Diceros bicornis minor: one gene and its partners. The protein of the gene in region 2 purifies or fractionates together with the protein of the main gene of each other region. This does not show direct contact. Links are inferred from orthologs where the notes say so. Each region holds a gene or a part of one and is shown on either strand. Other genes may lie near its edges. The genes, in order: SRRM1, SRPK2, YTHDC1 and PNN.

Evidence for each region.
Region 1: the proteins of SRPK2 (region 2) and SRRM1 purify together in Homo sapiens (affinity purification with mass spectrometry; 3 studies listed by BioGRID and IntAct, with this or other methods). This does not show direct contact. The link is inferred for Diceros bicornis minor from reciprocal best matches to the Homo sapiens genes SRPK2 and SRRM1.
Region 3: the proteins of SRPK2 (region 2) and YTHDC1 purify together in Homo sapiens (affinity purification with mass spectrometry; 4 studies listed by BioGRID and IntAct, with this or other methods). This does not show direct contact. The link is inferred for Diceros bicornis minor from reciprocal best matches to the Homo sapiens genes SRPK2 and YTHDC1.
Region 4: the proteins of SRPK2 (region 2) and PNN purify together in Homo sapiens (affinity purification with mass spectrometry; 3 studies listed by BioGRID and IntAct, with this or other methods). This does not show direct contact. The link is inferred for Diceros bicornis minor from reciprocal best matches to the Homo sapiens genes SRPK2 and PNN.

Annotation. Positions count from the first base shown.
Region 1 is NC_080752.1:40,888,719-40,896,373, forward strand, and holds the start of SRRM1 (serine/arginine repetitive matrix protein 1), read left to right. Parts: upstream 1-4,649; 5' UTR 4,650-4,715; coding exon 4,716-4,736; intron 4,737-5,053; exon of another isoform or gene 5,054-5,108; intron 5,109-7,655. UniProt on the Homo sapiens protein: Part of pre- and post-splicing multiprotein mRNP complexes. As a component of the minor spliceosome, involved in the splicing of U12-type introns in pre-mRNAs. Involved in numerous pre-mRNA processing events.
Region 2 is NC_080742.1:12,839,327-12,847,267, forward strand, and holds the start of SRPK2 (SRSF protein kinase 2), read left to right. Parts: upstream 1-4,952; coding exon 4,953-4,982; intron 4,983-5,390; exon of another isoform or gene 5,391-5,437; coding exon of another isoform or gene 5,438-5,453; intron 5,454-5,547; coding exon 5,548-5,602; intron 5,603-7,941. UniProt on the Homo sapiens protein: Serine/arginine-rich protein-specific kinase which specifically phosphorylates its substrates at serine residues located in regions rich in arginine/serine dipeptides, known as RS domains and is involved in the phosphorylation of SR splicing factors and the regulation of splicing.
Region 3 is NC_080747.1:54,209,668-54,216,554, reverse strand, and holds the start of YTHDC1 (YTH domain-containing protein 1), read right to left. Parts: upstream 3,002-6,887; 5' UTR 2,661-3,001; coding exon 2,633-2,660; intron 2,382-2,632; coding exon 2,319-2,381; intron 1-2,318. UniProt on the Homo sapiens protein: Regulator of alternative splicing that specifically recognizes and binds N6-methyladenosine (m6A)-containing RNAs.
Region 4 is NC_080744.1:10,963,164-10,971,010, reverse strand, and holds the start of PNN (pinin), read left to right. Parts: upstream 1-4,840; 5' UTR 4,841-4,885; coding exon 4,886-4,998; intron 4,999-5,636; coding exon 5,637-5,708; intron 5,709-6,102; coding exon 6,103-6,171; intron 6,172-6,674; coding exon 6,675-6,747; intron 6,748-6,862; coding exon 6,863-6,957; intron 6,958-7,117; coding exon 7,118-7,193; intron 7,194-7,847. Other genes in the region: TRAPPC6B (trafficking protein particle complex subunit 6B), read right to left, coding at 1,548-1,874. UniProt on the Homo sapiens protein: Transcriptional activator binding to the E-box 1 core sequence of the E-cadherin promoter gene; the core-binding sequence is 5'CAGGTG-3'. Capable of reversing CTBP1-mediated transcription repression.

The DNA of each region.
Region 1 (7,655 bases), on a different chromosome or scaffold from region 2:
ACTTAGTTTTTCAGGCACCACTATATTTGTTATGGTGATCTGTGATCAGCAATCTTTGACGTTACTATTGTAATTGTTTTGGGATGCCATGAACTGTGCCCATATAAGACGAACTTGATGTGTTGTGTGTGTTCTGATGGCTCCACCAACCAGCCGTCCCCTCATCTCTCTCCCTCTCCTCAGGGCCCCCTATTCCCTGAGACACAACAATATTGAAATTAGGCCAGTTAATAACCCAACAATGGCCTCTAAGTGTTCAAGTGAAAGGAAGAGTCATACATCTCTCACTTTAAATCAAAAGCTAGAAATGATTATTAGTGAGTAAGGCGTGTCAAAAGCTGAGACAGGCCAAAAGCTAGGCCTCTTGAGCCAGTTAGCCAAGTTGTGAATGCAAAGGAAAAGTTCTTGAAGGAAATTACTCCAGTGAACACATGAATGATAAGAAAGCAAAACAGCCGTATGGTTGATATGGAGAAAGTTTTAGTGATCTGGATAGATGATCACACCAGCCACAACATTCCTTTAAGCCAAAGACTAATCCAGAGCAAGGCCCTAACTCTCTTCAATTCTATGAAGGCTGAGAGAGGTGAGGAAGCTGCAGAAGAAAAGTTTGAAGCTGGCAGAACTTGGTTCATGAGGTTTAAGAAAAGAAGCCATCTCCATAACATAAAAGTGCAAGGTGAAGCAGGAAGTGCTGACGTAGAAACTGCAGTAAGTTATCCGGAATATCTAGCTAAGATAATTAATGAAGATGTCTACACTAAACAATAGATTTTCAATGTAGACAAAATAGCCTTATATTCGAAGATGATGACATCTAGGACTTTCATAGCTAGAGAGGAAAAATCAATGCCTGGCTTCAAAGCTTCGAAAGACAGGCTGACTCTCTCTCTCTCTCTCTTTTTTTTTTTTTTGGTGAGGAAGATTAGCCCTGAGCTAACATCTGTTGTTAATCCTCCTCTTTTTGCTGAGGAAGCTAGGTCCTGAGCTAACATCTGTGCCTATCTTCCCCTATTTTATGTAGGACCCCTGCCACAGCATAGCTTGATGAGCAGTGCATAGGTCCACACCTGGGATCCAAACCTGTGAACCCCAGGCCACCAAAGTGGAGTGTGCGAACTTAACCACTACACCACTGGGCCGGCCCCTGGCTGACTCTCTTGTTAGGGGCTAATGCAGCTGGTGACTTTAAGCTGAAGTCAATGTTCATTTACCATTCTGAAAATCCTAGGGCCCTTAAGAATTATGTTAAATCTACTCTGTCTGTGCTCTATAAATGGAACTATGAAGGCTGGATGTCAGCACATCTGTTTTCAACACGGTTTACTGAATATTTTAAGCCTAATGTTGAGAGCTATTGCTCAGAAAAGATTCCTTTCAAAATATTACTGATCATTGACAATGCACCTGGTCACCCAAGAGCTCTGATGGAGATGTACAATGAGATTAACGTTGTTTTCATACCTGCTAACACAACATCCACTCTGCAGCCCATGGATCAAGGGGTAATTTCAACTTTCAAGTCTTATTATTTAAGAAATACATTTCACAAGGTTTTAGCTGCCATAGATAGTGATTCCTCTGATGAATCTGAGCAAAGTAAATTGAAAACCTTCTGGAAAGGATTCACCATTCTAGATGCCATTAAGAACATCTGTGATTCATGAGAAAAAGTCAAAATAACAATATTACCAGGAGTTTGGAAGAAGTTGATTCCAACCCTCATGGATGACTTTGAGGGGTTCAAGACTTCAGTGGAGGAACTAACTGCAGATGTGGTGGAAACAGCAAGAGAACTAGAATTAGAGGTGGAGCCTGAAGATGTGACTGAATTGCTGTAATCTCATGATAAAACTTTAATGGATGAGGAGTTGCTTCTCATGGATGAGCAAAGAAAGTAATTTCTGGAGATGAGATCTTCTCCTGATGAAGACGCTGTGAAGACTGTTGAAATCACAATAAAAGATTTAGAATATTATATAAACTTAGTTGAAAAAGCAGCAGCAGGGTTTGAGAGGATTGATTCTAATTTTGAAAGATGTTCCACTATGGGTAAAATGCTATCAAACAGCATTGCGTGCTACAGAGAAATCATTTGTGAAAGGATGAGTCAGTCGATGTGGCAAACTTCATTGTTGCCTTATTTTAAGAAATTGCCGCAGCTGCCCCAATCTTCAGCAACCACCACTCTGATGGGTCAGCAGCCAGCAACATCAAGGCAAGACCCTCCACCAGCAAAAAGGTTACGACTCACTGAAGGCTCAGGATATGCAAGTGAATGTCAGCAGGAAGTTGAAAATATTAGGTCTGGGGCAGACTTGTGCCTGAGATATACAGGTTTGGGAGATGAAAAGATAATTGAAACCAAGGGTCAATGACAGAACCTCAAGGAAAACCAGCATTTACAAAATTGGCAGCAAAAGAGCAGAGACAGTGAAGGAAGTATAAAACAGAACAACCGATCAGAATCATAGAGAACAGTCAGTGAGATGTGGGGCACTGTGATTTCATAGTTGTTCTATAGAAGCCAGCCACTTCCCCTAACTTTGACCTCTGACAAAGCTTTCATTCAGCAAATTTTACTGAGCCTACACTATGGGCCAGACACTGTTCTAGGTGTTAGGGACACACCAGTTAACAAAAAAAGACAGAAAGCCCTGACTTTCGCGAGCTTAAATTCTAGTGTGGGGAACAGATAATAAACAAACATTAAAAATAGATAAACAGGGCTGGCCCTGTGGCTTAGCGGTTGAGAGCACGCGCTCCGCTGCTGGCGGCCCGGTTCCAATCCCGGGTGCGCACCGATGCACCGCTTCTCTGGCCATGCTGAGGCCGCATCCCACATACAGCAACTAGAAGATGTGCAACTATGACATACAACTATCAACTGTGGTTTTGGGGGGAAAAATAAATAAATAAAATCTTTAAAAAAAATAGATAAACAAATATTTGGCGATAAATGCGACAGAAAAAAAGAGGGTAGATTAAGAGGCATCTGAGATATAGAAAGGGTGTGTGAGCAATTTCCTAAAGGGCAGTCAGGGTAGGCCTCATGGAGTAGGTGACATTTGAGTAAAAACTTGAAATTTGCCAAATAGATATCTCGGGGTAGAGCATTCCAGGCAGAAGTTACCAGCAGCACCAAAGTCTTGAGGCAGGAGCAAGCCTAGGAAGTTGAAGCAGTGAGCAGTGTTAGGGTACTAGGAGACGAGATCAAGGAAGAAACGTGGGGGCATCGGGTAGGATTTTGGCTTTTGCTCTGAGAACAAGGAGGGACTATTAGAAGGTTTTGAGCTTAGGAGCGACAGGTCTAAGGTTTTCTAGTAAGATCCCTCTGCTGCATTTAGGATAGACGCTGAGTGGCAAGGGTAGAAGCAGGCAGACGGCGAAGAGGCCAGCGCAGAAGTTCAGACAAAAGATGACGGTGCCTTGAACCGGGGTTCTAGCAGTGGGTTTCCCGATGGCTTAGAAGTAAGAGAAAGAGGAGTCAAGAGTAACACCAAGGCTTGTGTCCTCAACAAAAGGAAAGATACCGCCATCAACTGAGGCAGGGGAGGCTTCGGGAGGAGCAGGTCGCATCCGGGGGTGGGCGGCGGTGAGACCAGGGTAGGGAGGAACCAGTTCAGTTCCTGGTCATGTCAAGTTTGGGGTGTCTATCCACACTCTACGAGTTTGAAGTTGGGGCGAGAAGTCCGAGCTGAAGAGAGAGGGCAGTCGTCAGCAGAGTCGGTATCTAAAGGCACGAGAGAGAACAAATGTAGTTTCAGGTGTGATGACTGTCCTGAAGAAAAGGCAGGAACGGGGGACGAGTGTTTGTGTGGGCGGGCACTTGACAAAAGACGGCCACGGAAGGGACACAGGCTTTCTCTGAGAAAGAAGGCGCTCGGCGGGAATCTGGCGCCATCCTCCCGCGCTGGAGGCCCCCCGACAGGGCAGGGCTGAGGGGGCCGAGGCCACGCCGCGGGGCGGCTCGCTGCTTCTCCCGCAGAGCCCTGCGGGGGGCCCGCTCATCGGCTTCCCGCCCGTTAGCGCGGTTGCCAGGCAGCCGAAACCGAAACTCTTCTAATGGGCATTTCCAGCTTCTCCCGAACACGACCGAGTTGTGTGGGGATGGGGGGAAACTGGGCCGGAACGCAGATTTCACTGAGACTGCACCGCTCTACTTTAGAGCCGATCGTAATAACCGGTAAACTCGTAAAACCAACACAATCACAATTTTCGCAATGACAGCGGAGGCCGCAGGCTTCTCTTCTGCGCACCGGCCGCCTCCCCAGCGTCACTCTGAGGTAACAGCCTTTCTCCTCAATCGCTCCACGGAACCCCCAGGGCGGGAGGCCTCCTCCACTACGGGTCGAAGGAGGGCTCAAGTCACGCTGCGCGAACAGGGCTGGTCCAGCGCCACAAAAGGATTCGCAGGGCGGGGCGCCCCGACGACTCTCTCTCTTGCTCCCATTGGCTGCGGTCGCGAGGCTCTCCTCCCGGACTGGCTACTGCGGAGCCTCGGAGCCCGGCAGCTGCCCGCCATCTGGGCGCGCGTGCGCACGCGTGGCGGGCGCGCACCACACTGAGCAGGCGCGGCCTCGTGTCGGCTGGAGGGGCGGGCGGAGCGGCGCGCGCTGCGTCCCGGCGCTCGGCTTTCCCTGCCGGTCCCGCCCTCCGTCGCGGCGGCGCGGTGCACCCTGGGACAGGGAGCGATCTCCGAGCGAGGCAGCAAGATGGACGCGGGATTCTTCCGCGTAAGTAGAAGCGCGGGGACCTGGGGTGAGGTGAGGCACTTACTGGCGAGGCCTGGCAGGAGGCTCAGACTTGGGACGGAGCGGGCAGCGAGGGGAGGCTTCGAAGAGCCTGAGGATCCTCGGCGCCCGCGGACGCCCCCCTGCCCTGCGGCGAGACCGGTGCGCCCCTGCGCAGTCTCCTCCTCCGGGATCGTCCCCCCTACGCGGCGGCGACGGTCGCCGGAAAATGGCGGCGGGAATGGGCCGGAGGGGCCCCTCGCCGTCCGCCGGCCTGGCGGGGCCTGCACGCCGAGCCGCGCGCGCCGCCGAGTCCCGGGCCTAGCGGAGCCGCGAGGAGGAAGTCCGGGGGGGAGGCCGCGGGGCAGCCCGGAGGTGACTGGCGGCGGGAGGCCCTGGGCACGGTTTGGGGGTGCCGCCCCGGGAGAGCGTGGTAGAGCACAGGAAACAGCGTCGGGCGTCTTTTCTTGAGAAAGCGGGCCCCGACCCCCCTCCCCCGCCGGCCTCCCCCTGGTCCTGAGCCTTCGCGAAGGCGCGGGGTCAGAGTTCGCGAGAGCTCCCGCCCAATTTAATACCCTGCGGGGAGGGGAACTCAGATGATACGTAGTTGGAACGTTTGAATCGGGGACTGAGGGCAGAGGGCGCAACAAAAGTGTGCGCGTGTGCGGAGGCAGGGTACAGGGTGATCGCCTCCTCTCCTTCCCGCTCGCTCCCTCCCCCCCTTCTTTCTTTCTTTTTTTTAAACTCTTGAAGTCCGCTGGAGAAAACGTGCCTCTTACCTAGGTTCTGCCGGGCTGCTCGCCCATCACCTGCAGGCGGGGAAGTTACCTCGCCGCGCGTAGTTGGTCCTCAGGGGCCAGAGTATCAGGCTCGTGCTGGCGCCTGTTTGTCTCGTCTTTTAGGAAATGAGCACCCAGTCGAGATCTGGACGGGTGCGAAGTGGCACTAACAGGACTAGACTTTGCAGATTCTCTTAAAGCACAACGGACCACATAGAGACCAGTGGGTCCAAGTCAAAATGTATGCTTTATGTAGGGTAGGGTTGTCTCTTTCCATTCCCCGGAGCATATTATGCAGTTTGTACGTGTGTGTTTAAAGGAAAAGTGGAAGAGGGGAACACCAGGACTTGGTTAAGATATCTCTTGACACTCCAAAGCTGGCGTTGAAATTCCTCTTTAATTGGCTTTCAGTGTGCCAATTAGTTTTTCATCAAAAGTTGGAATGTTATTCCCATAGTTGACTTAAAACAGCCAGTTATTTGACGGTTCTTAGGTTATGCAAACAGTATTGTAGTTATTTATGTAATGATAGTTTCAGTTGAGAGAGCTTATCAAATTATCACACTGCGGATGAACACTCCATTTTGTAATTTCCATCAAAGTATTTTGTAGTAAATACTCAATATTTCCTGGGGTCTGAATGTAATAATTTGAAACAAAAGCCTGTGATTTTTTTGGTTGTTTCCCATGGAAAGGAGTTCCGGTAGAAAAAGAGCAAGGTGGTTGATAAATTTAAAAATGAAGTTTGCTTTTGGTGTTGGTAAAAGTCTGAAAGAAAAGGATGCAGTTTTTTATATACCGCCTATAATTCCTTAGATGAGTTGACTGGATGTAAGCTTCGAGGTAAAAGATTTTAGGGTAGTTATCTTTTTAGTACAGTGCCAGCCAGGGTAGTAAACTGACATTTTCGGTTAAGATAGAAATGATAGATTAGAAGTGATGGATTGCATTTGTTGAAATCTGCCACATGCCAGTGACTTTACATGTATCATTTCTGATATACACACTCCTGCAACTAAAGAAACATCCTCAGAGAGGTTAAGTAACTTGCTTTGAGGTCATATGGCTTAAGTAGTGGCAGAGTTGAGATTCTTATCCAGGTCCTTTACCTTCCCGAACAAAATTTTCTTGATCACTTTCCAAGGGACAGTGACCAACTCAGTGAACCAATCAGTAGATTTTGTATCAGATGGCTAGTTATTTCCAGGTTTAATTGGGCCAGTAGGAATGACAAAATGTAGACTAGTGATCACTTGATGGTCTAATGTAGTATTTGTAAGTTCTTATTTTTCCAAATTTTTCGCTGAAATTGATTTTATGAAGGTAAACCTATATTTTTCATGCATTTCAAGTTCTTAAAGTTGTGGAAAACTAAACACAGCACAGGCCTAGGGAGTTTTTTCCTTTTTCCCCTTATATGCATTGCCACAATAATTTTGCAAACATGCTACTGGCTTTCAGAAGAGGATGAAACTTAACGGTCTTGTTTGAAGGCATATGTTAAGCGTAGTAAATATTACAACATGTTCTCGTTTATTTTTTTAAGCAATTTTTATTGAGGAAGATTGGCCCTGCGCTAACATCTGTTGCCAGTCTTCCTCTTTTTTCCCTTTTCTCCCCAAAGCCCCAATGCACAGTTGTGTACTATAGTGTAGAGTTGTAGCTCTTCTATATGGGACCCCACCTTAGCATGGCCTGATAAGCAGTGCGGGGGTCCACGCCCAGGATCCGAACCAGTAAACCCAGGGCCGCTGAAGTGGAATGGGTGAACTTCAACGGCTGTGCTGGCCCCAGTGTGTTCTCATTTAAACCAAACAGCCTTAAATCTCCATTAGCCTAGAAAAAGGTATAGAAAGATGCACATCAAACTTGGTTGTGGGGGAGGTGTTAGCATTATGTTGTATGCTGCTATATTGTTTGACTTGTTACAATGAGCATGTATTTTGTAATTTTTAAATACAGTTTTCAAAATATCAGCTGCATTGGGAAGAGAGTATACATTCTGTACCTATGAATATTAGCTATGGTGTTTCTATTTACTTGATTACCCTATTTCGACTGTAAAGGTCATAGCCATCAGTAGCTGATAAAAAGTAGGAATTTAACTTTGAACTCTTAATTAAAATGTATTTCTCTTCCTGCA
Region 2 (7,941 bases):
TTTCTAAACACGTTCCCAACAGGTTGCTGTTTTGTTTTGATTCTTCTTGTCATAGACACTATTGCCATCCAGTAAATATAATATATATTTCACATATTTACTTTGTTTATTTTCTGTCTTCTGGCAGTAGAATGTCCCACGAGGGCAGGGAGAGTCTTGTGTGCTTTGTTCACTGCTGTAGACTCAATACCTTGAATAATGCCAGCTGCATAGCAGGTGTTTGAGAAATATTTGTTGAACAAATGGACGCAAAGAGATGGGGTGTGATTTCCCAACTAATGTTAATGGTAATTACCATTTATTGAATATTTACTTTCCTTATTTGATTATCACATTGATCTAGCAGGATTGGTATTAATATTATTACCGTTTCCCAGATGTTGTAATTAAGTAACTTGCCCAAGGTTATGCAGAAATTAAGAGGCAGAAATGGGTTTCAACATTAAGCTAAGTGAAAGAAGCCAGTCACAAAAGGCCACATAGTATATGATTGCATTTATATGATCTGTCCAGAATAGGCAGGGCTATAGAGACAGGAGATTAGTGGTTGCCTAGGCCTTGAGCAAGGGGAGGTTGGGGGAAATGGGGAGTGACTGCTAATGGTTATGGAGGTTCTTTTATGGGTGACAAAATGTTTTAAAATTAGATTGTTGTGGTGGTTGCACAACAATCCTAAAAAACATTGCCTTTTGTACTTTAAATGTGTTGATTGTATGGTATGTGAATTATATCTCAGTAAAGCTATTAAAAATAATAAAAGAAACTGGTTTTAAAATCGGATTTCTTTGGCTTCAAAGCTTTTAATCACCTTCTAGAAGGAGTCAAGACCAGCAAAATGGCTGGTTCTGAGACCCAGTTAGGGAAAGCACAAAGTTTCCTGGAACATCTTGTGCCAGAAAGTGAAGAGGTGCTCAAAAACTGATTGGGATGTGTCCGAAGGACACTAAAAGTTGAAAGTGTCTTCCCTGGTCAAGTATGGGGCAATTCAAGAATCAAAAATCAAAGTGACAGTAATTACTGTCAATATTGAAACCAAAAATAAAAACAAAAAACAAGCCAAAAACAAACAGAGAACAAAGGGGTGGCAGGAGAAATGAAAGCTCTTCTTTACATAAGAATGTCACCTAATTAACATAGATGGAACAGATGGAATGTTAGGATTATAATATTATTATTCTACAACCACTATAGTAACAATTGATTCAGGCAAGCATCATCAATGGGTGCTAACCCATAGAGTGAAGATTCTTGGGGAAGGATACTCACATGGTCTCAAAATATTACCCCACAGAACCATAAAACAAAATCATGGTGAAATTCACATAACATAAAGTTAATCATTTTAGAATGAACAATTCAGTGGCATTTACTACATTTACAATGTTGTGCCACCACCACCTCTATCTAGCTCCAAAACATTTTCTCAGTACAAAATAAAACCCCGGACCCATGATGCAGTTGCTCCGCGTTTCCCCTCCCCCAAGCCACTGGCTACCACCAATCTGCTTTCTGCAGATTTGCTTGTTCCTGATGTTTCATGTAAATGGAGTGGTACAATATATGACCTTTTGTGTCTAGCTTCTTTCACTCGGCAGACTGTTTTTGAGGTTCATCCACGTTGTAGCATGTATCAGTTCTTTAGTCCTTTTTATGGCTGAAAAATATTTCATTGTATGTCTATACCACAATTTATCCATTCATGTGTTGATGGATATTTGGGTTGTTTCTAACCTTTTGGCTACTGTGATCAGTGCTGCTATGAACGGTTGCACACAAGGATTTGTTTGAGTACCTGTTTTCAATTCTTCTGAATATATACTTAAGAGTAGAATTGCTAATAATCCTATATTTAGCTTTTTGCAGAACTGTGGAACTGTTTTCCACAGTGATTGCATCCTTTTACATTCTCACCAGCAATGTACGAGGATTCCAATGTCTCTACATCCTTGCCATCACTTAGTTTCCATTAAAAAAAATTGTAGTCATCCTAGTAGGTGTGAAGTGGTATCTCATTGTGATGTTGCTTTGCATTTCTCCAGTGATGATGAGCATCTTTGTTTCTCTTCTTTGGAGAAATGTCTATTCAAGTCCTTTGCCCATTTTTTTTTTTTTACGTACATAAGTATATTATACATTTTATCTGTATAAAACCGTAAAATAGCACACAATTTACAAATCATACTAAAATATACAATCCTTTTTATTGTAAATTCTACAGCACCAATTGTTCTCTAGAATGTTTTTTTTTCCTTTTGTCGAGGAAGATTGGCCCCGAGCTAACAGGCAACACCTGTTGCCAACCTTCCTCTTTTTGCTTGAGGAAGAGTGGCCTGAGCTAACACCTGTGCCCATCTTTCTCTATTTTGTATGTGGATTGCCACGACAGCAATGGCTTGGTGAGAGGTGTAGGTCTAAGCCCAGGATCTGAACCCGTGAACCCGGCCGACAAAGCAGAGAGCAGTGAACATAACCACTATGCCACTGGGCCAGCCCCCTAGAATGCTTTCTTTGATTTTTGCCAACCGTTACATCTGTAGCCAACCTGTGGTTACAATTCATCCAGGATTTGAGAAAATCAGACCATGAACAAATGCTTGATTACTATCTGATTCCACAAGAAGTCCTTCATGTCACCGACTCTTGAGTATAGTTCCGACATAAATGTTGGTTGATGTTTTCATTTACACTCAAGAGTGAGATGAAAGGACAAGAGTGAAGCACATGTTGAATCTTAACTCATCCGCCAAGGATATCGAGTGACCTTGTTGGCTGAATTGGATGATAGTTTTCCAACACTGGAAGAATGTTCCTCGAGGTTCTGTGCTGTTCACAGTGTAACAGCTACAGACATGACAAACTTTTTTTTTTTAATTATTTTATTGCGGTCATAATGGTTTATAACATTGTGTAATTTCAAGTGTACATTATCATTTATCAGTTTCTGTATAGACTGCATTGTGCTCACTACCAATACTCTAATTTTTATCTTTCACCATACGTATGCGCCCCTTTACCCCTTTCACCCACCCCCCATCTCCCTTCCCCTCTGGTAAGCACTGATTTGCCTTCTTTGTCCATGTGTTACTTTATCTTCCACATATGACTGAAATCATGTGGTGTTTGTCTTTCTCCGTCTGGCTTATTTTGCTTAACATAATACCCTCAAGGTCCATCCATGTTGTTGCAAATGTGATGATGGCGTCTTTTTTTTTTTTGGTGAGGAAGATCGGCCCTGAGCTAACATCTGTTGCTGATGTTCCTCTTTTTGCTGAGGAAGATTAGCCCCGAGCTAAGATCTGTGCCAATCTTCCTCTATTTCGTATATGAGATGCTGCCACAGCATGGCTTGATGAGTGGTGCATAAGTCTGTGCCCAGGATCTGAACCTGCTAACCCCAGGTTGCCGAAGCGGAGTGTGCAAACTTAACCACTATGCCACTGGGCTGGCCCCATGATTGTGTCATTTTTATGGCTGAGTAGTATTCCATCGTATATATACACCACATCTTTATCCATTCATCAGTTGATGTCCTTTGCCCATTTTTTACACAGATTACTTTTTAAATACAAAGAAAAAAAGGTACTTTTACCATGGAGAAATGATTAAATGCAACATCACCAATAATGGAACAAACAGACATCAAAGCCCTCCTGATGCAATTTACTAAGACCAACACAACATCATCTATGATAGTGTACCTGAGAAAATTATGTAACTTCAATCTAAGGGGGAACAGATGAATACAAACTGAGGAACATTCTGCAAAACAGTAGAACTGGATTCTTCAAAAAAGTCAATGTTATAAGAAAAAACAAAACCGGGCATTATTCTATACGAAAGGAGCTTAAAAAGATGTGACAACTAAATGCAATGCATGGTCCTTGATTGTATCTTGGGTTGGAGAAAAAGTCAGCTAAAAGGGATATTTTGAAAATTTGAACATGACCTCTGTATGTTACAGATAATAGTATTATATTAATAAAATTCCTTGGAATGATAACAGTATCTGATTAAGTAGGAGACTATCTTTGTCTCAGGAGATACTTACTGAAATATTTAGGGGTAAAGGGTAACACTATCTGCAAAAAACTCATGATTCAGCAAAAACAACTCTCCCCCCCCAACACAGGGAAAGCAAATGCAGCGAAATGTTAAAAACTGGTGAATATGGGTTAATATGGGTGTTCATTATGTTTTTCTCATAGCTTTTCTGTAGGTTTGATGTTTTTGAAAATAAAAAGTTGAGAAAGTAAAAAGCTCTTTAATTCCAAGCAGCGCCTTCTGTTCTGTTGGGTTTAGCATCTTTAGAATAAGACTAGCTACTTTGATCAGTTAAGAATAGAGTTGTATAGCCAAAGAGAGAGTAAATGGTCAGGATGAATATCTTTCAAAAATATTATCAGTATTTAAATAAACAAAGGAACACTGCAGTTATCATTTTGTCCCACTATCAAGTTGATTCACATCTTAATTAGGAAGCATGATACGTGGAGAGTTTGGACTGAGTTAGGCCTAGATTTCAGTCATTGCTGGGTAAACTGCTTAACCTCTCTAGGACTCAGTTTCTTCATTGTAAGATGGAGAAAATAACTACTTGGTGGTTGTGGTGGTGTGTTAAATTGTTATACACGTGGTATTCATTGAACTGGGCTTTAATTCACGTGCGAAAGCTTCATCCTTCTTTCCACGCTATTTGCATCTTTTCCTTCATTAAACTCAAGCAGTCCTGCGGGGTAGGTAAACGTGTGAGATAAGATGACTTCTCCAAGGTCACATAGCTAGTGAAAGGACCCAGGTTTCCCAGTTCTTGGTCCTGTGCCCTTTCCACACCCGCCGGAGAGGAGGAGCGGCGCTCATGGGGATGCAAGGATGTAGGGGAGCAAAGGGGGAGAAAAGGCCGCGCGAAGAGAGGTGGTGTGAGACCCGCGGAGGCGCGGGCCAAGGAAGGGCGCATGGAGAGACGGGCGGCGCGACTGGCCGGAGTGCGTAGGGGAGAGGCCGCGGCTGCGAGGGAGGGTCGCGCGGGCCGGGTGCCCGGGAGAGGCGGGAGGCCTGGGCCCGCCGCGGGGGCGCTGGAGGCGGAGGCCTGCCGCGGGCTGGGGAGGGGGAGGTCGGGGACGGGACTGGCGGTGGTCGCGGGGGGTCGCTTCGCACAGGTGGGCCCGGCGGGCGGGTGCGGGACACACGGGAGGGGCCCGGCGCTGGGGTCCCAAGCTCACCGGGCGGGTGGGGGCGGGGCGGGGGCGGGGCCGGGCGGAGGCGGGTCTTGCCGGGCCCCCCGCGGGAGCGGCGGCGGCGGCGGCGCAGGCGCGGTTCCCGCCTCCTCCCGGCCGGCGGAGCGAGTGGAGGCTGCAGTCCGGCTCGGCTCGGCACCGCGTCGCCGCCGCCGCCGCCGCCGCCGCCGCGAAGCCCCCCGCCCGCCCTCCGCCGCGTCGGGATGAGCTCCCGGAAAGGTGAGTGGCCCGCGGCGTTCGCTCCTGCCCGCCACGCGGCCCCGCGGGCCGGCCGGCCGGCCCGACCGTTAATGTGTGTCTTCTCTTTCCCCAGTGCTGGCCATTCAGGCCCGAAAGCGGAGGCCGAAAAGAGAGAAACATCCGAAAAAGTGAGTCCACGCTGCGCTCGCCCCCGGGCCCCCGGCCCCGCCGGTCGGGCGCAGCCCGCGGTCGCGCCGGGGAAAGTTGCCCCGCTCCCAGGGCCGGAGGCGGGCCGGTCCCCCGGGACGCCGGCGCTCGCCTCCTGCGCGCCCCGCGGGCGGCGGGCGGGGGAGGGGCGCGCGAGCCCGCGGCCGGCCCGCCGAGCATCCCCGGCCCCCGGCCCCCAGTCGCCGCTGCGGCCGTCGAGGGCGGGCGGGCGGGCGGGGAGGCGCCGGGCGTGCGCACCCTCCCCGGCGCGCCGAGCCGGCCCGGGGTCGGCACCTTCCCAGGAGGGGCGCTGGCGCCCGGCGCGCCGTGTGCGGGCGCGAGGCTGCTGCGTGGCTCCCACCTGGGCGCGCGGGCCCCAGAGGAAGAGGAGCCGCGTACGTAAGAGAGTGTGAGTGTGTGTGTGTGTCGCCTCCTCTTCCTCCCCGGCCCCCGCCTCTCGGCCTTTCTGCCGAAAACCCGAGCTGGTTGTCAAGTGGTTTGCCTCGGGCGTGTTCCTGGCGCGAGTTCAGCTCCGAGACCCGTGCGTGTCGGCGCTCGGGTTTTTATTCGAAACTTTCTGCTCGGGCCGAGCGTGACTTGGCTGCGCGGCGGCCGCGCCGGGTTGCGGGCTGGTGGGGCCGGTGGGCGTGTGCGCGGGCGGCCCCGCGCGGCTTCCCAGCCCGCATTGTGCTGGGGAGTTGATGGATGGGGTGGTGATATTTAAAACGTGCCAGTCGCCAGCCACCTCCAGCATGGCTGCGGACCGGAGGGGGAGCGGCCGGCGCCCGAGAAGCCTTTCCTGGAGAACTGCTCCGAGACCGCAGCGCCGCGGCCTCTCTCCTTTTCCTTCTTTCATTCCTAATTTAAGAAAATCCGCCAGCGTTCAACATCTTTACTCCTTCTAGATGTGTGGCTTCGCTTTTCCTTTTGAGCAAGAAATACAGGCAAGGTATTTTTGGTACTTTGGGGAATGATAGTCCATGATCATCTTTAAATAAAATCCCGAAGCATTTCTTGTTTCCTTTAGAGGACTACCCTGCAGCATTCCTAGGCTTTTTCCCTTCCTGTTCGCCTTGATCTCTGCCTAGCGAATTTCATACCCGTTGGTAGCATCTGTGCAAACTGCCTAAGTCATTGCTAACGTGGTGGTATAGCATGACAGGATTTTTGTTCATTCAAAACGGAATATAACTTGAAAGTATTTTTAGGATTTCACAAAACGTGGATATCGACATAATGATGCCTTTCTTAAGAAAGAAACTATTAGAGTGAGGGAAAAGTACTTATTAAGGACTTGAGGAACTGGTGGGTAAAAATTGGATATTGGATTCTTAAGACGTTAAAACAGAATGGATATTTGGTAGTTTTAGATGCCTTAAAAAATTAGTGCTAGCTCTCAAGTCAATCAGAACCTTAAATTTGGGATTTCCTTTGGTGAATGACAGAAGTTTAGCCTATAAGTGGGGAGAACTGTAATGTTTAGGATCCGGAGTATTGGGTTTTAATCACAACTTTCATTTCAAAGCATTTATTTCCGCATAGCCCATTATGTTCAGAAACATAAAAAGGAGGTGAAAAAAGCATGTCCCCAGTTTTGGGGATGGCTGTGTGTATGTGTGTGTGTATACACATATATATATAAAATCTATATGTGTGTATATTATGTATATATATGCATACATGTAGAAAAACAGTTTTAGTTGAGTAGGTCAGTGTGTGTTTCATATTTCAAGGTATGACTTTCCTAATGGCCAAGAGCCTTTTTTGTTGTGTCGCAGTTTGCATGTATGTGGTATGTTTATAAAGAATTAGCATATAGCCACATTAACGTTTGCCTCACGGATTAATCTATCAGTTTCTTCCATTGTTTGTTGTATTTATGTAATAAGATTGGAGGGAAACCCCCCCAACCAAGGACTGAATGACCTGGTTGGTCAGCAAGGTAATTAGTAAGGGGAGACCAGCCCAATTACATAACTGTTTGATTGAGGCAATGTCATTTTTCACTTAATTTTTTGAATCAAGACATTATTTTAAAGGGATGCCTGATGTGATATATTTATTCATATATTCCACAGGCTTTTTGCATGCCTTTCCTAGGAGACTGACAGAGCTTTGAACAAGGCAGACAGAGCTCCTCATGAAGCTTACGTTCTGGGGGGCTGGGGGGACCCCAAAAAGGATGAGAAGTAAAGATGACAGCTTCAGATAGCGCTAAGGGATAGGGAGAACATTAAGATGGGGCGCCTTAAGTAATAGTGACAGATGACATTTGAACACTGTGCCAGTCACTGTGTTGACTGTTTTATGTGTGTTTATC
Region 3 (6,887 bases), on a different chromosome or scaffold from region 2:
AACCTTGTAATCATTTATTCAAGGAACTGAGACACAATAACTGTACACAAGAAACCTGATGAACAAGACAGACATACTCCTGACCCTCATGAAGCTTCCAGTCTAGTAATGTAGAAAACATGTTACTTTTGAAAGTGGTAACTTATTATCCACATTTTGGATATATTAAACTTTGATTAACTTTTTTGAAGAGAACTTTATAAGAGCTTAAGAAATAAAATTTATACAAAGTGTTTATAATAAAAAAGATGTGTATTTCTGCATATAGAAAAATGGCATTTAACATTAGTTAACACCATCAACATTCTAATGTCTTTCAAATCCACTTTTTGGACAAATAATCAACACAGGAATCAAAGGAAGCTGGCAATCTGTCCAGTTATAACAGGCTTCAGCTTCCAGGTATTAGTATTACAGAAGCATTATAGAAGTTAATGCCTGTTTATTACACAGCTAACGCACAAAACCCAATAATCCAAGGACTCAATGACCAAGTCTTTTAACTGTTCTGTGATTAATAGCAAATTCTTGCCATTTAAACTCATTTCTGATCAAGATCTTACATTATTTATGTAATCATTTAAAAACGGACCTCAAGTTTGTGACATGTCTAAGATTCTTACAAGGTTTATCTTTGCCATTTCCTAATGTTTCATACAAGATAACTGATGACACTAAGTACTTAGTTTCCCACTTTTCCTTGTTCAAGTATGAGAAGGAAGAGTCAAGTACTGATTTTAATTCTGGCTATCATTCTAGCTGTGTGACTCAGTTTCCTTATTTGCAAAGTGGATTATTCTAGAAATCCTGCTACTCAAAAATTAAACAAGCAATTCCAGTAAGTTTGTATTTGCTAGCTTTCGCAGTAAACTAAGAGACAATCTTCGATCTAAACTATAAAGATAAGCACTTATATCAGAAGTTCTAAAATAGAGAAGTTCAATTATGGAAATTAAGTTTTTCAAAAACTACACAAATCAAGGCCTTTCAAAAGCCGGACAATTTATCCTAAGTACTGCTAATAGGTAGCGTTACTACTTCCCAATAATAAAGTTTAAGTATTTGGATTACATTTTCATCACTATATCCACTTCTTTGACAAAATTTCTACACCACCACCTACTTTTCTTCCTCAATGTACATTATGGAGTCTAGTCTATTACTGACTTAAAATTACTATGTTCATCTTAACAGACAACGAATTCTTGAGGAGTGCTGAGTTTTACTCATTTTATATTTGGTTCATCTCACCCACCATAACTGCCACCCATTCCCATACACACAGCTCATAAATAACAGTGACAGAATCAAGCATTGACTGAATTCTTATTGATTAAAATCATCTATTTTAATAACTAACTTTACTACTAATTAAAAGCAGTTTCTTTTATTCACTAACACCATGCAATCCTATGTTCACATTCCTTTCAGACTTCTCAAAAAAAGGGCAGAAGGGGTTTCTAGGATTCGTCTAAGGAAGTAAAATTAAGCTACCATAACCTAATCATTGAACTGCTTTAAGATAGGAGCAATATCTTAAACATATTCCCACCCACTCCACTTCCCAAGCTTGTCCCTATCCTACAGCAGTTTATTGAAGCATGAAGACTTCTTTCTTTTAAGGAGAAAAGATCACAGGCCTAATGCAACTTGATTCTAGAGCTCATTTAATAAATTCCCACCCCAAATTTACTAGCCACACAGAAGAGTAGATCTGTGAAATAAAGAGCAGCAGCTGTGCCATATTTTTTTTAACTATAATCTTTCGGTAATCTTAGGGTTGGAAAAGACCTTAAGGCACCATCTAATACAGACCACCCTCTAGACAGGTACTGATCCAGGATCTCCATCTCCAGAGCCTGGGAGATCGGTATTTCACAAAACATGACACTCCTTTCTGGCAACATCAGTTCTTTCTATATTCCACTGTAATTCTATCCCTCCAACTCTCTATAAATTACATCCATTTGCTCCTGGTTGTACTCTCCGGGAGTTAAGCACAATGTGTTTCTATCAGAATAGCGGCCAGGATTTTTTTTGCCAGGCCTAAATCATATAATTACCCTTCCAAACATCTTGTTTTCTAAAATAAGTGTTTGAGGAGCCAAACGGGCAATTCATGCCACTTTACCTATTTTACAGGAACAGCCACAAGTTACTAATAGATATTTCTCGAGATTAATAATCCACCTATAGCACTTCTTAAATATGCTCACTTACTATACTACCAGCTCTGATCGTGACATTCAGGGTTTTCGAAATTTCGCCTACCAGAAAAGGTTGTTCTGAAGATATGCATTACATCCGCATAATCTTACCAGCAAATAAACCTAAGGGCCTGCAACTCAGAACAGGCCTTGTCCCAGCCGCGCCCAGAACAGCTAAACGGAAAAAGAAGAGGGGAATTAGGATCAAAGAAAAACCATAGGCCAGATAAGTGTTAGGTCATAGGGAGATCGAGGACGTAAGGGCAGGCCTGATCTTTTCCAATGAGTGCAAGCGTCTCGGTCGGGGGGACCCGCTCCGCGCGGAGCAGGCTAACCCCCCCAACCCCCACGCGGCAACGACGACCACGGCTCCGTCGACCCACTCCCGAGCCCCGCCTCCGCCCGTCACCTTCCTCCGCACTAACCTTTCTCCTCCCGGCTGTCGGCCGCCATTGCTCCCCTCCTGTTTCCGCTGCTGCCGCTGCCGCTTCGACGCGAATCGCGCCGGCGCCGCAGCCGCGGCAGCAGTAGCTCGGAGGCGTCCGTCAGTCCGTCCGCCGGGCTGCGCGCTTCGCTCCTGGGCCTCTACCACTCACCCTTCTCGACTCACCCTTTTTCTCCCCGCTTCTTTCCCTTCTCCCTTTTCCCCTTCCCTCCTTTCGCTCCAATCTCCCGCGGCCTAGGCCAAGCCTTCCCGTTGGGGCTAGGGGACCGGAGCGGGTAGGCGGAGGGAAGGGAAACAGATGGCGACAGCGGGCGGCGCTAAAATGGAGCCTGCTTCCTGCGCGAAACAATCCCGCTCCCGAAATGCCCTGCGCTGTTTACGCTTCGTTCCTCCCTGGGAACGTCACAGTGCGGAGAGAGGCGGGGAAGCAGGGCGAGCAAGGGAACGTGACGTAACGTCAGCACGTCGCCCCGCCCCCCGCAGCCCGGATGTCCGTGGAAAGAGTCTCATTGCCAGTGATTAAGCGGCCGGAGTTATTTAAATCGAGCCGCTGCTGTGCTGTGTACGCCTAGGTGGCGCAGTTTTCTCGACTGAACCGGGTATTCGCGTACTTTTCAGCCTAAGAGCGAAGATGCTTCGTGTCGCTCCGCGCTACTCCTGATTCCCTTCTGGAAATCGGAGATTTATTTAGGACAAGTATGGGCCTTTGCCTTTGCAGTCGGCAGGGATGGCAGTTGTACTTTCACAGTTGGTGTCCCGGGCTTCAAAGGCAGCACAGGATGCAACTAGCTCACTTGTCACAAAAGCATACTAGTTTTGTTTTTAATTGGGGAAAGGAATTATATTGTATTTTAATATAACTTTGTAATTCACATAATAGCAAATTTGATTTAAACATTTATTGAGGCCCTGGGGTACTCAGTTGATTAAAGAGACTATTGAGAAATTGAAAGTACAGAAGTGACCAAAAACTACTTAACTAATAATATGGTGAAAGGTACATAAAGTTTATTATCCAAAAGAATAAAGATGTAATTTTGCTTCACTACTCCATGACTGAGTTTACAAGGGAAAGAAAATTTGAAAAAAAAGTAACATTGTTATGTAAAAACAAACCAATGGCATGTTCAGAGAAAGAAAAATAATCTAGAGTTTCTTGGTCCTTGATGGCCTTTATAACAAATTGAGACCAAACTAAAGGCAGTGGGAAGATTTTAAGCAGTGGAAAAACACTAAAAGAGATTTGTTTGGAGCTGTTGGAGGCTTGCAGGGAAAAAAGAGAAGGAAAAACAAGTAAACATAACACCCAGCTATGTGTTAGATGCTTAGGAATCAAGGGTGAATAGAATAGTATTTCTGTCTTTAAAGAATGTTCAATATAATATAGGGAAGAGACAATAGGAAATTAATGTTGAGAAATAAATGAAAAGCAATAAGAAAAGTATATATAGAGACAGACAGACAGACAGAGTATATAAGGAAGCCACTTGGTTTAAAACTAGTTTGGCCTGACCTTGTTTTTCCAGGAAGGCGTGTCATAGCCTGTGAAGCATGCATTGTACATCTGCTTTAAACATTTACAAAGCAAAGAATGATGCATTTAAAGATAAGGATGTATGCCTCCCCCCATATCAGCGTTTTTTTTAGAGATAAGCACTTTGTCCCAGAAACTAAGGGTCAAACTGACCTACTGTGTACATCTTGTGACCTGCTGTGTTTATCTTGTTACCACTGACCTGCTGTGCTAGCAAAACAGCTTGTGACTGTAGTAAAAGAGATTCCTGTCATATTTGATATATGTTCTTTGTTTCAAGATGGTATATAACCATGCTGTACACTTCACTTCTTTGGAGTACTTCCTTCCTTGGTGAAGGCGCCTTCCAGGGCTATGTGGTTCTCACACGGGCTCATATGATAAACTCACCCCAAGTTGTTTTATAGATTTATTATGGATTGTTTGTATTGATGTCGTGTAAGAATAATGGTTAAAATTGTGTGTTCTTACTGTGTGTGCCAGGTACTGTTCTGAGCACTTGAAGTATACGATCTGATTTCCTCTTCCAAAAATGCAATTAGATTACTAGCTCTATTTTACATAAATGGAAAGTGAAGTAATGTGAAATTAAAGTGCCCAAAGTCACAAGTAGTAGTAAGAAACATGGCTCAAATCCAGGCAATTTGGCTCTAGCCCCCACCCACTTGATATTACTGCATCATGTAGCATACTCTCAGGATATTGGAATCCTTAGAGGCATGTCACTCAGAGTGATGGGGGGTAACAAGGGGGGTTCCCTTTCTGAAGAAGGGAAAATAAAGCCTAGTTGAGAACTAAACAAATATTAGCCTAGGTGAGAGGGAGAAAGGGCAAGGGTAATGTTAGAAGGATAGTTTTCACGTAAGCAAAGGTCCTAGGTGGCAAAGCTGCCCATAGTTCAATTCAAGTCGATATTCAGTGGTTAGGTAAGAAGAGACTGAATCAAGAAAAGCATTATAATGTAATGTTCTACTCATTTATTAGTTCAGTCAACTAGTATTTATTAAATTCCTATTCAGTCCTATATTGTTATAGATTCCAGAGTTAATATACATATATAGTATAGGATCTGGTTTCTCTCTTCAAGGAGTTCAGGTTTATGTTCTAGTTAGGGCGACAGGGCATAAGTAAACAATTACATGTGATGAATTCTAGGAAAGAAACAAATAAAAGGCTAATATGATGAGGCAGAAGGACTTTTTATGTAGAAAAACCGGTAAAGCCCTCTCTGAAGAGGTGAAGTTGAGACTGATACCTATAAAAGGTGGAGGTAAGAGTCTTCCAGGCAGAGAACAGCACGTAACAAAGGTTCTGAGGGAGAAAGAGGCTTTAGTGTGGTCAAGGATCTAAGGAGAATGCCAATGAGCTGGACCCCAGACAATGAGAGGGCAAGTAGCTGAGATAATGTTTGAGGGACAGGACACACCTTAGGAGTAAGGGCCTAATCAGGACCCAGCCTGAAACAAAAGCAGTACAAGCTTTGCAGAGAGAATCTCCAGGTTGAGCCCACTGGAGAGTGGGAATGGAAAATGTCTTGGGCTTTCCACAGATGGGCACCCATAAAGTGTAAAACCAAGCTCACACAAGTTCAAGATGATCAGCACCTCTCAGAGGAAGAGAACAAAATAGAGTCTGTGAAACATATTTTTCACAATATTCAGTTTTAAATCAGGCCAGGACCAGGTCATATAGCATAGGTTGCAGACTGGTGCCTGCTGACCTAAGACTTTCCGTGAACCAGTACAGTGTATGCTTTTATTGAAGTTTAATGCTTTTAATCAGGGCACACAACTTCCAGTGAGGCTTGGCCTCCACCATGCCTCTAAATTGCCTTACTCCTGGCCAATATTACTGATTGGAGTGTATATCTCTCAAGTGTGTGGATTCAGGAAAAAAAATTGGCAGGGCCGGCCCAATGGTCTAGTGGTTAAGTTTGCGTGCTCCACTTCAGCGGCCCAGGGTTCCTGCATTTGGATCCCCGGTGCAGACCTACATACTGCTCATCAAGCCATTCTGTGGTGGTGTTCCATACACAAAATAGAGGAAGATTGGCACAGGTGTTAACTCAGGGACAATCTTCCTCAAGCAAAAAGAGGAAAATTGGCAACAGATGTTAGGTCAGGGCCTATCTTCCTCATCAAAGAAAAAAAAAATTGGTAGTTGAGTTCTGTTGCCCTGGGAAGATTATGTAGAGTGAAGAGTAAAGGAGACTCAGTCCAGAGTCTTAGAGAATATCAATATAGGGAAAGCAAATGTATAATATGAACCTAGAACATCTTGTCATACCAGACAGCAGTGATCAATGAATGCTAAGGTCCTGTCAAAATGACTCAGAAGAGTTCCTAACTAAAATGGCTCCCACTGGCCAAATATGGACATTTTAAGCACTGTAAAGATAAAACTGCGTTGGCTTGAAACATATCAAGTATGTTTAAATCCATGAATTCATAATAGTTCAAAAAAATTCATCAGTCCTCTTTGGATGATGCTAGGGAACCAGTTCATTATTTTGAAAACTAGCAAACAAAGAGAAATCATTCATCCTGTGTTTGCAATTAGAACTGTATCTCAGGGTTACCAAGCAAGTAGTTGATGAAGGGAAGTTTCTCTTCATAGAATTATTCCAGGTAATATATGGCTAGGGTGAAGCAATGACAGAACTAGGACATCACCATTTTACAACCATTAATGAAATAAACAG
Region 4 (7,847 bases), on a different chromosome or scaffold from region 2:
AAGTTTTAAATTGTGCCGTTCTGTGTAGTGTGACGAAATCTCACGCTGTTTAGCTCTGTCCAGCCCAGACCTGAATCATCACTTTCTCCAGCAGATCCACGCTGTATTCGCTACCTGCCCATTAGCCACTTAGTAGCCATCTAGGTTATCAGATCAGCAGGCGAGTATGTCAGTGCTTCTGTTCAAGTAACCCCTATTTTACCTAATAAAGGCCCCAAAGTGCAAGAGTAGTGATGCTGGCAATTCAGTTACGCCCAAGAGAAGCCAAAAAGCGCTTCCTTAAGTGAAAAGGTAAAAGTTCTGGACTTAATAAGGAAAGAAAAAAATCATATGCTGAGGTTGCTAAGATCTATGGTAATTTTTAATACAGTATATTGTTATAATTTTTCTATTTTATTACTTATTGTTGTTAATCTCTTACTGTGCCTAATTTATAAATTAAACTTTATCATAGGTATGTATGAATAGGAAAAAACATAATACATATAGGGTTCTGTACTATCTGTGGTTTCAGACCTCCACTGGGGGTCTTAGAACGTATCCCCTCAGGAAAGTGAGGCAAAACTGTATTTAAATACACCACTCTTTCATACCTCTATGCCTTTACCTTTGCCTAGGATGCTTTTCCTATTCTCACTTTCCACTCCTCTTTATCAATAGCATTATAGAAAGGGCTTCTGATTTGAGCGTGACTTTGGAATATCTCATTTATAAAATCTGTTAAAACTCCATGATTCTATAGCTAATTATACCCAATATGTTAATTATTCATTGAACCCCTATTCCCCAACAACTGTGAGGCAGAGGTTTTATCTTATTCATCTAGCACAGTGTCAGGGCCACAATACACACCTAATAAATATTTTCTGAATAAATCAAAGAGTGAACGAGGACTCCCACATTTTAGAAGTAACCTCCACGAGGATGGGGCCATTGTTTCGTTCTTTAATATATCCCCAACACCCAGAACTAGCTCTGACATATAACGGGCACTAAATAAAAGGTTTTTTTTGAATTAATTAAACTTGTGTTTCCTAATTACAGTAACGCCTGCAAACTTTCTTTTGCTATGACCTCAAATCTCACTAGCCTTCTGTCTTCGAGCTGCGTGGAGGGATATCACTGTTATGGATGAGGAGAGAGCGACAGGATTCTCAGGCTGGGACCTGTCTGTCCAGCGCACGGCCCGGAAGTGCGGGAAGTGACAGCAGAAGTAAAATCAGTGACAGCCAAAATCGGCTGTGCAGTTAACCCTGCCGTAAATCACGGCAGGGGCAACAAACACTAAAAGTAAGACCAATCTGTGGCCTGCAGGACACAGACTGGGAATGGACAAAAAAGCATCAAACAGGAGAAGACGCGAAAGGGAAGAGGATGCAAGACTGAAGACAGCTGACGGGCTCTCGGGCTTAGGATACCCGGAGGCGGACCGATGTGTCTACACCTCGGGAGAGGCTGGGTGGCGACGGGACAGGGGTTGAGGGAAAGAACTGGGGAAACGAGGAGTGTCACGCAGAAGGACCGCAAGCGCGTGTGGCAGCACTCACCACCTCCCCCTGCTCCGCAGACTTGTACACTCCAGACACCATCTCGCTATGCAGAAGCAAAAACAACGCCTCATCCGCCATCGCCTGCTTATTCTTCCGAGCTCCGGTTCCGGCTCCCGTTGGGCCGGCTCGGGGTTCCGGCTGGCGCCCGAGCGAGCTGGACCGGGCCGCTCCCTCAGTCCGCAGCCCGTCCCTCGTTGCTAGGAGACACAGGAACTCACTCGGCTTCCGGACGGCTGGTACCGGCGGGAACCCGGTACCGGGGCGGCCCACCCCCGGGCCACTGAGCCCTCGGGCCCAACAAGAGAGACTGACAGCGGCAGGCATCCAACCCGGCCCGCGGAGACCCGACCCGGCCGCGGGGCGGGGACGAAGGAACAACTTCCGGTCCCCTCTACCCCGGCATTCCGCCAGCTCTATGGTCACAGAGTTCCTCCTCGGGGTGAATGCCGGCGCCCAGACAGCCGGGAGGGTCCTCCCGCGTAGGATGTCGGAAGTCGGGTGGGTAAAGTAAAACAAAAGGAACTCCCACTGCCGTCTCTGTTAATTAGCTCTGAGTTGGAACTGACGTGAATTTCTATTAGCTTCACCAAAAACTTCCACTTCTGCCATATGTTCCTCAATAAGAAAAGTTGTAAAAAGTGAATAAATCATCATTTTTCAGGCTATACATTTTATATATATTGAGAAATTAGCCCAATCCACTGTGGATTAAGCCTGCCTATGCAACAAGATTTAGAGCCATGTTGGCCGCCAGAAAGTTTACTGGAAGCGGGGTGTAAGGAACAAGGAGGATGGAATAAGCAAAGAACAAGATATATTTGAACCAGAAATTAGAAATTATCAGAGGATTGGGTGAACAGAAAAGTGCTAAACACTTCAGAAAAGTGACGTCACAGTGGGACGGAGTTCATAAGAATCTATGCCGGATATGGTACTAACTCCTACAGAGGAGCAAACACATATGTTAGCTCATATGCATCTCTTCAATTTGGCAATCTCTGGCTTAAACGTGTTGCTTAGCCTGTGATGAGTTCTTTTCTTAGTAATCCACAAGGCAGATTTTTTTCCAATTAATTCATTGCTTCCCCCAAATTAACATATTGAGTTTCCTCAAATTGTTAACAATAACCTCTCAACTCTTCATACCCTTTCACAGAAATTTAAGATCATGTTCCATAATTGGAATTATGGCAGCTTTTTTTTTTTTTCTTACGTTTGGATGTAACGTTCTAATGTTTGGATCAGTTTATTTGATCATCACATAAATCAAGCATAAAAGTTCCACTTAAGCCTTTGAAAACGCTGAATAGTATAGCTTTGAAAAGTATTTTGCAACCATAATCTTAATTTTTCCAGCACTAAAATTTCCCATATGCGAAATCAGGTCTTTTATGTCCTGATTGCATTCTCCGTTCATCACCACCGTCAAGGAACAGAAGTCCAAGCCCACCAGCGAGGTCAAAGAATAAGGAATTGACCAAGTTACTAAGGTTGATTTCTCAAAGTACAGTAACGTCGAGTTCTTATAATATTTTGGAGAATAGAGGGGAAACTAATATTTATTCAGCACCTACTAAATGTTGAACACAGCATCCCACTGATTCTCCCCTATAAAGCAGACTGTGTTAAATTGCCCAGGATCCTACTAACAGATCCTATGGAAGTAGGAATAGATCCCATGTTTTTGGTTAACTCTAAAAGCATTTTCCCTTGGAAACATGGATACACTCGGTGGTTAGGATCCACCATCACCACATTCTCGTGCTTTGTGTACTGCTTACTACACGGGGTTGTAATAAGGATCAATGAGACTATGTATGCTCACAACCAGAATTAGATAATTGTCAACCCTCATCCCTCTTACCCAGCTTTACTTTTTCTTTTTTCTATAGCACTTCTTGATTTCTAACATGCAATGTCATTTACTTAAGTTTGTCGTCCGTCTCCACACTCTTCTGCCACGAAGCTCCTTGAGGGCAGAGATCTTTATTGTACATTGATGTATCCAAGTGCCTAGGACAATGCCTGGCACATAGCAGACGCTCAATAAATATTTGTTGAATGAATGAATGAGTATATGAATGATCTTTGCTCCCTGAGGGGCCTACAAACCCCACGGAAGCAGGACCACAGCTATCTTGTTCTAGGCTTTTATCCTTAGAGCCTAGCTTAGTGCCTCTACACAGCAGGAGTTTCTAAAGATGGGTGGATGAATTAAAAGGGTAACTGTAACTCCAGTTAAATACAGTTGGCTCGCTAATGCTTGGTGCAAGGAGGATGCTTAGCTGACAGATGGAGGATGAGAACCCGAAGATTATACATAATATTGCTTCTGCGCGGAAATGCTTTCTGGGCTATAATTTGCAAATATATTTCTGGAACAAAACCGGTTCTCACGTTGGCAGCGCAGCTACAGCGGAACCAGAAGCTGGATGACACTCTCACACACACACATCTAACAACAGTGCCTCTCCCCCAGGCCCCATCTTAAACCAACCAGCTCTAGGCCAAGTGTAGAGGTGTAGGGACTAAGGCCTGTCTCGTCTGTCTCACCATCGCTTTTTTCTTCTAGCACATCCTTGCACAGCGTCTGATTGGACGGTGATTATCGGCTGGCGCGACCTCGCTACAGTTACAGTGTCTCCAGACTCAATGTCCTTATCGGTTATAACAGGCATGTGATTCAAGCTTTTGGTTTGTGAGGGATAAGGCATGTAAAGCGTTTCACACAAAAAACAAAATAACTGTCAGGTATTACGATTAATGACTTTTCCTGTACCTCCATTCTCTGCTTCCCTCTGCTCATCCTGGTTTCACCTAATCGAGGGAAGCCTGCGCCCCGCAACCCCTCTCTGGGCATGCGCACCAACAGAATGGCCGCACCCTGTCCTAATGAAATCATTTACCCGGGAAGAGGGGTAAACAGGCTCCATCCCACCCTGATGTAATCAGAAGGTTAAAAAGGATTTAAGGCACGTCATATCACAGGCTACAAGGGCCAGAAAACTCCGAGCGCCCCGCCAGAAGAGCAAGCCCTGGAGCCCACGTCTCCCACAACCCAGGGACTCTCAGGCCCGCCCCAGCCCTGCGCTGGACGCGGAGCGCAGCCACCCGCAGCTCGCTGGGGAGGGAGGTGACCACCTGGCCGACTTTTCATTGGCCCAGAGTCACGAAGGCCGGCAGGTTCTCCCTCTTCCGGTCGCTGAGTGGTTGAGGCCGAAAAACAACGCTTGTTGTCATTGGCTGAGGCCAGCTGTCAATCCGCTCGCGTCTCGCGGCGCGACCCGGCCAGGCGCGGCCTGTGGAGCAGTCTCGAAGCCTGCTGCGGGGAGAAGATGGCGGTCGCAGTGAGAACTTTGCAGGAGCAGCTGGAAAAGGCCAAAGAGAGCCTAAAGAACGTGGACGAGAATATTCGCAAGCTCACCGGGCGGGATCCGAATGATGTGAGGTAAGGGGCGGACGGACAATGCCGGCTCCGAGGGGTAGCCAACAGGCCGGGGTGAACCGGGAGGGCGGCCAGCCTGAGACGGCTGGAGCGTCGAGGCCTGGGCCGGGGCGGCGGTGGAACCCGGCCTCGGGGAGGGGGCGTCCTAAGGCCCCCGCCGTGGGTCCCCCGGCTCAGCTGTGTGAGGAAGGAGCGCGGGGCCGGGTCGCGCCGGGATGACTTCCCGGCCTGTGCGGAGCCCGGACCGCCGGTTCCCGCCCTCGGCCTGCAGGCCCGGAACTGCAGCACAAAGCCCCTGCCCCCCCTGGCCTCGGCCGCCCCGAGCCCTCCCGGGACGCGGCCCGCCGTCTCGCCGCGGCCTCCTGCCCCACGTGCACCTTCCTTGGGGTTGGCGACATTAGGACCTCGTTAATATGCGGTAGCATCGAGGTGAATGTAATTTCTGATAGTGATCTGGGAAAAACAAGGAAGTTAAATAAGATGGTACTTCCTGCCCTGTTTCAAACACGTGGATTCGAAACCGTCTTTTTAGAACTTTTCTGGTTATTTTCTCTTTATGATGAACCGCACCCGTGGAAGTGTTTGGTGCCGTTAGATGTGTGCACATGTGGTTTTTGTACTGATTTGTGAATCTCTTGTAGGCCCATCCAAGCCAGATTGCTGGCCCTTTCTGGTCCTGGTGGAGGTAGAGGACGTGGTAGTTTATTGCTGAGGTAAGGTTTCCTTAGGACTTAATTCGTATGCTAAGACTTGGTGCTTACTATACTAAGCTAACGTATTGGTTTAAACAAAACTCGTGTTAGAAACGTTTGTGTTTGTTTTGTTTAAAGCTGTGATCAGGTGTAGCTTTCTGTATAGTTATCCTGGAATTTCATTTATATGCAAAACTAGAGATTGAAGAATATCTTAATCGTGCTAGTTTTCTGTAAACTTAATTTAATTTTGTAGCTTTTAAAAAAATGCTATAAAAGTATCTTGGAGTGAATGCCCATTTAAAGTTGTTTTAATTAGAAGCATTTTTAAAAGTTTAACTGAATTCTCCTGCTGAATGGAAATATCATTTATCTTAAATTTCAACTGCTTTATGTTGGACTTCTTGAACTGCAGGCGTGGATTCTCAGATAGTGGAGGAGGACCCCCAGCCAAGCAGAGAGACCTTGAAGGGGCAGTCAGTAGGTATGTTGGAGGAAAAGATTCTGAAGGTATACTTGTGTGCTCTGTGTTCTGAGGTAGCATACAAATATAAATATTGTTGAATTGAGCTGTGTTAGAATTGAGTAGTATACCATTTCCTGAGTCTGTTCCCTTGGTATTTGACTGGACTGAGAAAGCCAGTATTCCTCAGAACTCAATTTTTCACTAAACGGTAACAGAAATTTTACCAAAATAAAGGTCATGAGAAGAATAAAGATTGAGAAAATAGTCAATCTGTGCCACTTTTCTGTCTGGTACTATAAAAATTTAACCAGCTTGAGAAATATATTGTAGGAGATCAGTTCGGATTTAGCATTGATGATAACATTTTATCCTTTCACTACCAGAGGAAGGAGTAAAATGGGATTGGAGATGGATAGAATGAGGCTTCTAGAAGTGAGTCCTAGAAAGAGTAGTCATTTGTCCTTGGCATGCACTTAAGTCAAATTCTACAATGGTGGTTTAAATTCTTTTTCCTATATCAGGCTGGGCGGGGAGCGTCGGACTCGGAGAGAATCACGCCAAGAAAGCGACCCAGAGGACGATGATGTTAAGAAGGTAGTTGAGATTAAAAGAACTTCTTTGAGGATGAATATAGTTTTTCACTTTACTACGTTTAAAAGAGTGTCACCCGTGCACTAGTAAAATTACTGAGATTTCTTTTCTCCTGCAGCCGGCTTTGCAGTCTTCAGTTGTAGCTACCTCCAAAGAGCGCACACGTAGAGACCTTATCCAGGATCAAAATATGGACGAAAAGGGAAAGCAAAGGTATCTTCAGTATCCTTCTGGGGGAAAGAACTGTCAAATAGTGCAATTTTAAGAAAATTCGAGGCATTGTTCAAGTGCCTGTAGTATGTTTCTTTTAGGAAATGGCAGGCTTACATGAAGTGGAACATTGAAATTGAATTTTCTTTTTTCTGTTGTTTAGGAACCGACGAATATTTGGCTTGTTGATGGGCACACTTCAGAAATTTAAACAAGAATCCACTGTTGCTACTGAAAGGGTATTTATGCAGCTTTTCCTTTTCTTTTATTTGTTACCAAAGTAGTTGATTACATGTTTTTAAAAAGAGCTGAAGAGCTCTTATAAGACTTCATTGCCCAAAATGAAGCCAAGGAAAAACTTATAAAACTTTCTGGAGTTGTGTTGTTAACCGGTCTTTTTTTGAGGTGCTGTGAAGTAACTGAGTGAACTTCTCTTTGTAGTGCAAAGAGCCCTGGTCTCTGAGTCAGGAGAACCTGGATTCTGTTCTGAGCTCTGTTACGATCTCATTTCCTGGTCTTGGACAAGTCGCTTTGTTTCTTTAGGCCTGAGAGTGCTTTCTCTCATATAGGAGAGTTGACTTCAATCATTGTAACTAGTTCAGTAATTCTAATTTTTAAGACTTATTTACACACTCAGAGGCAGTACTTAGCACTCTAGAAGCAAAAGCATAAACATTCCCCGACCTCTACAGTTTATTTAACTGTGTCATCTTTCCAGAAGTTTTTATTTTACTGAAGCTACAAGATTGTGTCCTCGGAGTTGAACACCAAATTATTACTTCTCAGGGGAGAACTACAGTAGAAAGGAAGATAACAATTTAGTTATAGGGGATTAATAAAATTTTATTTCAGCTTTTGTGTGTTAACTTTACTAGAGAATTGAAAAGGCTTAA